Linked DNA regions of Cricetulus griseus. The protein of the gene in region 2 interacts with the protein of the main gene of each other region in a pairwise test. Links are inferred from orthologs where the notes say so. Each region holds a gene or a part of one and is shown on either strand. Other genes may lie near its edges.

Region 1 (2,738 bases), about 200 Mb from region 2:
TAAATAAAGAGTATGAAGAATGCATAGCTAAGCAATCCTAGTCAGGGCGCAGTCCTCCTAGCTGCATTGTCTCAGCTCCAGTCCCTTCTGCAGGGTGGTCTGACAAGCTTCCAGAGCTGTGTGAAATCTCTTCCAGGGAGACAAGTTCCTCCTTTGGCTGCACCTGCCTTCAGTCTTTCTTTTCCCCCAGCCTGAGACTCCTGAGGAAATTCCATTTCCTTGGGAACCATTGTTTCAATAGTCTGGTAGCCAAACGGAGGGACACAAGTGTCTCTTTAGAATATCTTCATTTCTGCCAGAACCGTTATAGAACCTCATATAAACCTTGAAGTCACAAGACAAAACTGTCATTGCCCACACAGCATCCTTTTGACTGGTTGGATTTTTTTTTTTTTTTTTTTTTTTTTTTTTTTTTTAAAGGCAAGCTAGGAAAACACATGGAGACCCAAGATCCCAGTGACATTTCCTGGGCACCTGCCAGATGTCTGGCTTGTTCATGAGAAAGCTATACAAAGTCTACCAAGGGCTTTAATGAGGGTAATTGCTGGGACCTAATTTGAGCAGCACTTCCCTGAGGGCTGACAGTTGCCCAGTTTAGGATTATACCTTAAGGAGGAGCAGAACTGGTACCTTTGGCTCAAAACCAGTTCCTTGTGCCTCCCCTGGAGATCTCCAAGCATCCCCACTTGGTTGGAACAGCAAGGATGCAGGCAAGTAACTGGACGGTGACTCCTTTATGCCTCCTTCCCCATCTACAAGGAAGGACCTACATGAGCAGGATCATAGGTCGTGTGGACACACGTCCTGGGAGGCCCAGGACACACAAAGTCTTAGTTGAAAGTGGCTGTGTTGAAGGTGGCACTGAGCCAGTGGACCGACGTCTGACTGTTGGTACAAAACAGTAAGGAATGGGGCTCGGCCAATTTCACTAGCTTAGAGGAAGTTCCTAAGGCAAGTATTGTTCTTTCTCCAAGCACAAACCATCACGCTTTTGGTTCATTATTTGGAGTTAAATAGAGTCGGTCGGTTCTGGCCCATTGGCAGGCCAGATAAGGCCAACATGACTACCTACAGCACCGATCAAGGGCTGAAGTTTCCTCAGAAACAGAAATTTCTCAGACCTGAACCTGCTCCCGGTGTACCGTTAATCTGCAGCGTCTACCTGAAATGCCTCCACAAACTTAATCCTAGAGTCAAGTCCTTGCTACCTAATTTACTAAATGATACATTCTTCGTTTCTATCCGAGAAAACAAAGAGCAGAAGCACACCAAGCGTAGCAGAAGCACAGTCACGTCCCCGCTTTAGGACGTACCCTGACGCAGGCGGAGGCGGGACGAGGGGAGGAGCCGCAGCCGGTTTGGGGCGGTGCTGAACTAGGTCACGTAGCTCAGGTCCCTGGCTTGGGCCACATCCCGCGTCGCACTGTCCTCTACTCCCCGCTTGCAGTCCCCTCCGCCACCATGCCGATGTTCACCGTGAACACCAACGTTCCCCGCGCCTCCGTGCCAGAGGGGCTTCTCTCCGAGCTCACCCAGCAGCTGGCGCAGGCCACCGGCAAGCCGGCCCAGGTTTGCAGGGAGGGTACAGGAAGAGAGAGAGTGGGGAGGGAGGGCCCGTGCGCCCGGCCGCCGGGCAGAGGAAGAATGGGGATGGGAACCGCGGCGGGCGGCTGGAGGGCTGGAGGCTGGAGCTCCCCGGAGCCCTGTGGCCCCGTGGTCTTTCAGGCGGGCTAACCGCGCGTCCACCCCTCCCCCGCAGTACATCGCAGTGCACGTGGTCCCGGACCAGCTCATGACTTTTAGCGGCTCTAGCGACCCCTGCGCCCTGTGCAGCCTGCATAGTATCGGCAAGATCGGCGGCGCGCAGAACCGCACCTACAGCAAGCTGCTGTGCGGCCTGCTGGCTGATCGCCTGCACATCAGCCCGGACCGGTGCGTGGGGGTGGGGTGGGGTGAGGGGCGCTGGGAGGTGGGCGCGGGGGTCAGAGGGCGCCGCCACGCTCGCCGAGACCGCGTGTTAGGCTGAGCTAGGCTTTCATTCTCGCAGGATCTACATCAATTATTACGACATGAGCGCGGCCAACGTGGGCTGGAACGGCTCCACCTTCGCTTGAGTGCCGGCCTAACTTACCTGCGCCGCCGTTTCTTGGAGCCTTGCTGCACGCAGCGTTCTGTTTTCGTCCACCCCTGGCGACGCCCACCTTCCGATCGGGAGAAATAAATGGTTTAGAGACCACGGTTGCCTCAGTTTCTGCTTCCTTGGCTTGCGGAGGAATTGGTGCAGGGCGGGGACATTGAATGGAAGCCCAGGCTGCGATGGTGGGTCGGAGTTGGCCAGTTTGGCTGTCTCAAAACCAGTGGTCTAGATGTCCTTTCGTCCAGGCTTTCCTATAGTGGCCTTACGTCAAAAAGAGGTTCACTGGGGCCTCAGACCAACAGTCATACAGAACTTCCCAAGCAGTTGTTGCATCCTGAAATAGGTTCTCTGCTCTGGGCGGGAATCCCGAACTGTGTTCTTAATCACAGTGGCAAATGGGACGGCAATGTGCTTTCATGGGAGAGTGAGTTGCTCAGGCAGGAGAAGGGTGGGGATTAAATTGATAGACTCTTTGCCTGTGTTCTTCTCAGGCAAACAGCCCCCGACTCCCCAGTAGTTCCTAGAGAATGCATGAGAATGGAGTACTTTGTCTGTTTTCATGTTTGTTAGGGTAGAAAGGTCCAATGTGATTTACATCTCT
Region 2 (4,010 bases):
ACTCAGGCGTGGTAGTGCACACCTTTAATCCCAGTGCTCAGGAGGCAGAGACAGGTGGATCTCTGTGAGTTCAGTCAGTCTAGTCTCCAAATAAGTTCTAGGCTAGCCAGGGCTACATAGGAAGACACTGTTGCAAGCAAGCAAGCAAGCAAGCAAACAAACAAAAAACCCCAAGCAACAACAGTAACAAAACACCTAAAATAAAGTTTTAAGGAGATCATACCTGAGAATTTTGAGGCAGGGAAGTGACAGGGTAAGTGGAAAGGGAGAATGGACTGCAAAGGACAGAAGCTACAGTGAAGACTCTGGCCTTAAAACCAGCCCCAGAGGCAGACTTTCCTTTCCTACCTGCCTGGGAGTCTGTCTGAGGGTCTTCGGGATCTCCAGCCGGGCCAGCCTCCTCAGGAAGCAATCTAGAGGGTAGGGATTGAACTGGGACTTACACACAACACCCAGCCAGGCCAGGTGTCCACCAGAATTGTTTTCTCTCTTCCCCCTCATGTAAAGATTGTGTGTGTGTGTGGACGTGTTTTGCCTGTATATTTATCTGTGTACCACGTGTACCACAGGGAGGGCAAAGGGCTCTCAGCCTTACCTGGGGAACTCTTCATCTTGCCATTCCTCCCTCAGTTCCAGCTCTTCAAGTCTCAGGGCTGCTCCTGGCTCTGTGACTCCTGCCTTCTCCCCAGCCCTGACATCAGCCCCCCCCCAGGAGAAATGATCATGAGACAACCTGGACAGTATCCTAAGGGAGCCAGACAGCAGGTGGCAGACACTGTCGTGAAGAACTTGTCGCAGAGGGCATTCGTCTATGTCTACAGATTTTCTACCTTCTCTACCTTTTCCACTTGACTGAAACAGCTCACCTGCTGCTGAGCTTAGCAAAGGGGAAGGGCCATCCCGTAACCGCTTTGCCTCTATGGTAGTGTAGAAGGCATCCCACATCACAGCTGGCTGGAACCCAGACCTGCCCAGTTAACCTTTTGCAAAGCAGCAGCAGATGGCACCCAGTCTGCCCTGCCTTTCTACTGCACTGGGAAAATATGGCACAGCAGGCAAGGACAGGGGAGAAAGGAGATTCACTGGGAAGCAGAACAGGGGTAGAAACTCCCTTCTGAGCCAGGTTTCCTAATGGCCATTCTAGAGGGTGGTGCTTAGATGAGAGAGAGAGAGAGAGAGAGAGAGAGAGAGAGTGGTGGTCTGTCAGATATAAGATAGGAACTTTAAACCATGGAATTGCTCCATACTATATTACTTTCCTGCCCCAAACCACCCTGTCCCTGAATTCCTTCTTGCCATGCTCTTCCTCGAGGAACCCAGGGAAGGCTTGGGTGGTAGGAAACGCCCTCTCTCCTCCTCATCAGGCCAAGCCATTACTTACCCTACTTCTAATGACTTTTTTCCTGTTTCTTGTATAGTTCCCATCCTCACCAGTCGTCCTGTGTTCTGTGAACACTTTACGAAGGGTAGGAGGCTGTGGTCCTGGCCCCCACCACTCCTTTTCTTTCTCAGCTGTTGTTCTTGCCTCTAAGGAGCAGGAGGTGTGGAAGGGAGGTAACCTCATCTTCAAACAGGTTTTGCTACCTCCCCTCCCAAGGAGCAGGTTTGCCCAAAAGCCCAGCCTCTTGTGTGGGGGCGGGCTTTCGGGTGTGAGAGTGAGACTTCTAGGGTGACGATTTGTTCTCCAGTTCAGATTCTTTATAACCTGGAAGCCCTTTGTTTTGCCCTTTTAAGGGGGGAAGGTTACAAGATAATTTTATGTGTGTGTGTGTGCGCGCGCGCGCTCGCATTCCTAGGGAAGCCTGAAGCTAACACTGGATATCTTCCTCAGAAAATCTGAGGCAGGGTATCTCCATTGAACCCAGAGCTCACTGATCTAGTTTTAGCTAGCCAGCTTAACTCCCTGAGAGCTAGGGTTATAGGTGGATGCCCCACCTGCTCAGCCTTTGTGTGTTCTGGGGATCCAAACTTGGGTCTTCTTGCTCAAGTAAGTGCCTGTCCATTAAGGCAGCCCCCTTTATTTTTCAGTGTCTTACATTTTAGACCAGTTTGATGTGGAATGTGTGGGTGATCTTTCCCTCTTAGTGTGTTTGTGAGTCTATGAGTGGGTGTGTGCACCCTGGAATGTGCAGGGGAGGGCAGCCTCCTCTATCACTGCCTGTTTCTTTGAGACAATGTCTCTCTCTAAACCTGGATCCCAGCTTTTGCATTGTTGGTTAGGCTGGAATCCAACAGCAATTTTCTTGTGTCTCTCTTGAAGCTGGGGGTACAGGCCTTTGTAGACTTGCCCATGGTGCTGCGATCTGAACTCTAGGCTTCAGGATTGAGAAGCACTTTCAACAGGGTTTCTCTGTGTAGCCCTGGCTGTCCTGGAACTCACTCTGTAAACCAGACTGGCCTCAAACTCACAGAGATCCACCTGCCTCTGTCTTCTGAGTGCTGGGATTAAAGGAGTGTGCTACCACTGCCCAGTTTGACAAGAAAGCACTTGTAACTGCTGAGCCATCTCTCAGCAGTTTGGAAGCTTTTGGAAGCTTAAAAAATGTTTTGTTTTTAAATTCTATGTGTATGAGGGTATTGCCTGCATATATGTCTATGCACCAAGTGTGTACCTGGTGCTCTTGGAAGATAGAAAAGGGTTAGATTTCTTGGGACTAGAGTTACAGATAGTTGTGAGCCCTGTAGGTTCTGGAAATACACCTGGGTCCTCTAGAAGAGCAGCCAGTGCTCTTAATCACCAAGCCATCTCTCCAGCCTTTAAAATGTATCCCTCCCCCCCCAAAAAAAACAGGGTTTCCTCTGTGTGTAGTTCTGGCTGTCCTGGAACTCATGCTGTAGACCAGGCTGGCCTTGTACTCACAGAGATCTACCTGCCTCTGCCACCCAAGTGCTGAGATTCAAGGCATGCGCCACTACTGCCCAGCCAAAATGTACTTTTTTAAATTATAGTTTATTTTTGAGTGTGTGTGTATGATATCTTGTGAGAATCAGTACTCTCATCCCACCATGTGATCAACTTCAGTTGGTCATCTTGGTACTAGGTGCCTTTGTCCACATCATCTTGCAATCCAATAACTAGCTTTAAAAAGCTGATCCTGGTGAGGGCATGGAATTTCAGCTACTCAAGAGGCTGAAGCAGGACTACAAGTTCAAAGCCAGTCTGGGTAACTTACTGAGACTCTGTCTCAAAATAAAAAGTTAAAAATGGTCAGTGGTGGCCAGGCGCTGGGAGGCAGAGGCAGGCGGATCTTTGTGAATTTGAGACCAGCTTGGTCTACAAGAGCTAGTTCCAGGACAGCCTCCAAAGCCACAGAGAAACCCCTGTCTCGAAAAACCAAAAAAAAAACAAAAAAAAAAACAAAAACAAACAAACAAACAAACAAAAAAGATCAGTGGTAGAACACCTGCCCAGTAGCATGAGGCCCTAGTTCAATCACCAGAACCATACACACATACAGGCAAAGCTGGGAACTATTTTGGTTTTAAATTCATGTTGGTCCTACTTTTCCAGCATAAGGGAAACAGAGGAGACAAGTAAGGCATCTCACATCTGCAATTCCAACATGGGAGAGGCTTCTGCAGGAACATTAGAGGCTAGCTTCAGCTACTTGACAAGCAAGGGCAGTCTGGGAGACTGTCTCAAAAAAAAGAAGACAGTGGTGGTGCATGCTTTTAATCTCAGCACTGGGAAGGCCCAAGGCAGGTAGATCCCTGAGTTTGATGCCAGCCTGGTCTACAAAGCTAGTTCAAGGACAGCCAGGGATACACAGAGAAACCCTGTCTGAAAAAAGCAACAAAAAACCAACCTGAGACCACAACTGAATATTTTAAGGAAAGCTCTGGGAACAGGAATCAAGGAGAGATGAAGGATGAACAGAGACAGCTTATAGCTGAGTCAACTAAGCAGGAACGGGAGAAAGGGAGAGGTGTCTGTAGGAGGTGCAGCCATTATCAGAGGGAAGGCCCGACTATACTGTCAAAAAGAGACAAGACCTCAAACAGGAATAAAG
Region 3 (4,307 bases), on a different chromosome or scaffold from region 2:
GGAAAGAATGATATCTTTATGCTGAGAACTGGGGCTCCCACTGCTGCTGGGATGCTCTGGTTGGGAGCCTAGCCCAAGGACAGATGGAGCTGAGCAGATTCAGAAGAGCCCAGCAACTAGAAGGTGTACACTCAGAATCCAGAAGCCCCCTTGTCATCTTCAGCTTCTTTCTCACCATGAAGAGCTTGTCTCAGCTGCTCCATAGTGACTTCTGCCAGAACTTCAGACAAGAGGACCCAACTAATCACAGACAAGCAAAAGCAGGCCTGTCCATCACTGTAATTCCCAGTACAAAGCACACAGAAACCAGGCCCTAAGTCACTTCATTTTATTTTGGTCTCAAACTCTCAGAAGTTCAGGATCATCTGATCCTGGATCTGCTGACAGGCATGTTGTCATAGCTGTAGACCATGTGCCACAGGCAGTGGGCAGTATGGTGGGTACACCCTAAGTAAAAAGTCCTACTAGAGCTGGGGACAGAGTACAGAATAGACAACTCAGTACCATGCTTCAATTCTGAAATGGCACAGAGCTGCCAGTTCTGTAGGCACCCCTGGTTATGCAGTAGGAAGCCAATGGTCCACCCCATCTTCCTACGGGGCAGCTATGTCCCAAGTGTATAATGGGCAAGAGGCTGCATTATAAAGGGTATAGGGTAGCCTCTCTCATCTCTAGTCCCTGGGCACCTCCCCTTCTTAGCCCTGTGGGTAGGGTTCCCATTGGCAGTGTCCTAGGGACCCCTCTCCAAACACGGGAACAAGCTTTGGCTCAGATGCACTTTAATCAGCGGGCTGTCCCTCCAGCCAGGTTGCCCATGGACCCTGGCTAGATGTCCCACATGCTCTGCTCACAATCTTCTAGTCACAGGAGCCGTCCTTCCAGCCGTCACGCCATCGCTCATCTACCTTTGAACAGTCAAAATCAGGCTTGCCCAGCTTCCGATTCACCTCATTGTGCAGGCGGCACAGCCACTGGCTGAAGGAGACTCGAGTGCTTGTGTCTGGCTGGTTCCTGCCTATCCTTTGTGACAGAAGCACAGGAAGAACATAAGATGTTGACTCCTTTGTCCTTGCTAGGGCCCAGGACAGAGAGCTGGGGCACTGCTTTGAATTAAACTTGGGGATGCCTCTATGCTCTAGGGGGATGTGAAAGCCAAGAGCAGGGTTGACTCTGGAGTTTCCTGGACTTGTGCAACTCCCAGGGCTGCTCACTCGCTCACTTGACTTGGCAAGAGCCCAGAATTAAGATTATAGTAAAGCAGGCGACTTTACAACCTTGTAACAATCAGGGAGCCTCACCCCATGGTCTCTAGCCCCAGGCAGAGTATAGACAGGTGGGGCCTGGCACAGTGTTTCTTGGCACCAGAGGCCTAGTTCAGCAAGAGATACCCTTCATTCCTAACTACCCAGGCTTCAAATAGCAAGTGCAAGTGCCTAATAGGTCCAACCTAGAAATACCTATAAAGAACAGATTAAGTTAAGCCAATGAGTGAACCAAGTTTTTTTTTTTTTTTTTTTTTTTTGTGTGTGTGTGTGTGTGTGTGTGTGTGTGTGAGTGTTGGCTAGACCAGGCTGGCCTCGAACTCACAGAGATCCACCTGTCTCTGCCTCCAGAGTGCTGGGATTAAAGGCATGGGCCACTAACGCCAGACTTTCATTCCCATTTTTAAAATCGGTAACCACACCGAGAGATTAGAGAAGTTAAGCAACATGGAATCTTAGCTAATCTTCCTAAAAATTCTAAGGCTAACAATTCACAGACCTAGGCTCTGAGGAGGAAGGAGAGGGCTCCCATGACCCAACATTCGTTTGAGTGGTCCCTCTTCTAGCAACCTGTCACCTCTGCATCTATTTTTCTAGTCCCCTCTCTATGGCATCCGCCAGGCCCCTTTCAGGGCCTTACTGGCAGAGGTAAGGCACACTTACCTCTTCCTTATGTCTTCCGCACACTCCTTGCAGGGGTAAAACTTGGAAAATATATGTATGAACTGGGCCATATCTCGCTGTTGTTCTGGGGTGGGCATGTCCGGGTAATAGGCGGCCAACGTGTGGAGAAAAGCCCAGGTGTGGCGACCCAATTCCTCCCGATCCTGCGGACAGTCCTCCCTAAACTTGATGTCCCGCTGCAGAAGTAGGCCGACTACGGGTCAGTTCATTCTTCCCCAACCAGAAGCCCACAAAATTCCAACCCAGTGGCAGATTGCTTGTGTTGCACGCCAGAGGCCTTGGGTTCGGATTCCCAGTATCACCAAAAGAATAAAGGAAACAAGAATGCTCCCCTTTACAGTTGGCAGCCTAGTAAACTGATCGGCCAGCCAGTGGCTGAAGGCTCAAAGTCCGACCCTAGGGGTGTGTGTGGGTGAGGGGGTGGACATGTTTAGGCATAGCCAACCCTGAGGAAACCCGGTGTGGGGCGGGGGACCGGGACTGGGCGGTCAGGCGGGGTATCTGCACCTTCTGCTGGGTCCGCATCCACGACTTGAAGTCCACGCAGGCTCGGCACGGCGGCTTCCCGTGCTGCAAACCTTGCGGCCCCGGGGCTGAGGCAGAGGCCGCGGCGTCCCTATGCCCGGTGCGGCGGCCCCGCGCGTCAGTCACCAAGTCGTCTGTCATCTCAGAGCGCGCGCCGCCGGGCAGGAAGGAAAAGAGACTGCTGCGAGAGGCGCCCTCGGGCTCGCTGGGCGCCGCCATCTTGCCGGCGTACAGACGGCGGGGCCAAGAGGGCCTCCAGAAGGCCGGCAGGGCGAGCGCGCACGCCACTGCCAGCGCGCGGCGGCTGGAGCGGGAAAGGCGGCCGGGGGCCGAGCTCACGCTGGGGAAGGAGGCGGAGCCTGGCGGCGGGGCGGGGCTGGGGGTCGAGGCGGCGGCCCGGGTCTCGGCGGAGTCGGAGGCCCCGGCGCCGGAGGAGCCGGAGCGGGAGGCACGGGCCGAGGCGGCATAGGGGGATGCGGCTCGGGCTCTGGTTGTCCGCCGCGGGCCGGGCGTGCGTGGTGCATGGGGGAGCTCGGGTTTCCTCCCGCAGTGTAGTGAGTTGTGGAAGGTGCGCTGCGGCCCCGCTGGGAGGTCGGGCTGAGACGAGGTCTGAGATGCTTCTCTCGTCGCCCCCATCGCTCGGTTCAGACCTTTACCCGCTAGCGGCCAAGGTTGGGGCCTTTCTGGCGTACAACGCGCCCACCTACACGCTTCTGGGTGCTTGGCAACGCGCGGCGGGGCGTGGCCTCACAGAGCAGGCAGCGCCAATGGCCTGGGTCGACTTTTGCCCTAGTTACTGGGCCCCGCAACTTTGGGAGAGGCCTGGGACGCGTCCTATAACATTGGCGGGGGGAGGTTATTATGCCTATTTCAGCCTCAAGAATTCCTTTTTTTTTTTTTTGAGACAAAGTCATGTAACTTGGACTAACTTGGAATTCTGTTACGTAGCTGCCACCTCTTCTAGTACGTGACTTAGAAGCCTGGGCCATCACAGGAAGAATTCTTTTCCCTCTTCCATGTGTTCATTTATTCATTCTGCAAATATTTGTACAGTGGTACTCTGCTCCAAGCGCTGTTTCCGGCACTGAACAGAACAAGGAACAAGCTTCCTTCCCTAGCCTCTTTAGCCTTTGACCAGTAGTGAAGATGGGGAAAACCCAGTCACAGAAATAAATTTTATTTACAAACTGATGAAAGCTGGGTATAGGGTGTGGGAATATAGCGCTCCTAAATTGGAGACCCTTAAGCACAGGCCCCATAAAATGAGAAATCAGCTCAGGCTATCGCATTTTGCAGAAGCACCAAAGGCCACTGGGGGCAGGACTCTGGGAAGGTAGGAGGCCAGGATCCAGAGCTGGGCAATGGCCCACCAACCATGCTAGAAATTGGGATTTGTTCTAAAAGCAGTGGGAGACGTTGGGCAATTTGGGACAAAACTGTCTTGGCCTGATCCCATTTCTACTTTGCAAGATTTCTTCTATTTTTGTTAGAGTGATATTTTTGACAGAGTTTCTCTGTGTAGCCTTGGCTGTTCTGGAATTCGCTCTATAGGCCAGGCTGATCTCAAACTCAATAGATTCTCCTGCCTCTGCTTCCCTCCCGAGGGCTGGGATTAAAGGTGTGCAGAAGCAGATCTCCGTGAGTTCAAGACCAGCCTGGTCTACAGTGTGAGTTCCAGGACAGTCAGAGCTACCCAGAGACCCTGTCTCAAAAAACAAAAGTGTGATCACCACTGCCCAGCTTTTTATTTATTCTTATGTGCACTGGTGTTTTACCTGCATGTATGTCTGTGTGATGTCAGATCCCCTGGAACTGGAGTTACTGACAGTTGTGTGT

Evidence for each region. The genes of interacting proteins can lie anywhere in the genome.
Region 1: the proteins of Bnipl (region 2) and Mif interact in a two-hybrid assay, tested with the Homo sapiens proteins (2 studies listed by BioGRID and IntAct). The link is inferred for Cricetulus griseus from reciprocal best matches to the Homo sapiens genes BNIPL and MIF.
Region 3: the proteins of Bnipl (region 2) and Gfer interact in a two-hybrid assay, tested with the Homo sapiens proteins (2 studies listed by BioGRID and IntAct). The link is inferred for Cricetulus griseus from reciprocal best matches to the Homo sapiens genes BNIPL and GFER.

What each region holds. Positions count from the first base shown.
Region 1 is NW_023276806.1:262,751,071-262,753,808, forward strand, and holds Mif (macrophage migration inhibitory factor), read left to right. Parts: upstream 1-1,358; 5' UTR 1,359-1,461; coding exon 1,462-1,569; intron 1,570-1,759; coding exon 1,760-1,932; intron 1,933-2,047; coding exon 2,048-2,114; 3' UTR 2,115-2,236; downstream 2,237-2,738.
Region 2 is NW_023276806.1:61,249,526-61,253,535, reverse strand, and holds the start of Bnipl (bcl-2/adenovirus E1B 19 kDa-interacting protein 2-like protein), read right to left. Parts: upstream 2,805-4,010; 5' UTR 1,426-2,804; coding exon of another isoform or gene 1,382-1,425; 5' UTR 946-1,381; coding exon 596-945; intron 414-595; coding exon 349-413; intron 1-348. UniProt on the Homo sapiens protein: May be a bridge molecule between BCL2 and ARHGAP1/CDC42 in promoting cell death.
Region 3 is NC_048600.1:44,284,494-44,288,800, forward strand, and holds Gfer (FAD-linked sulfhydryl oxidase ALR), read right to left. Parts: upstream 2,803-4,307; 5' UTR 2,691-2,802; coding exon 2,454-2,690; intron 2,123-2,453; coding exon 1,926-2,122; intron 1,021-1,925; coding exon 858-1,020; 3' UTR 313-857; downstream 1-312. Other genes in the region: Noxo1 (NADPH oxidase organizer 1), read left to right, coding at 2,945-3,039.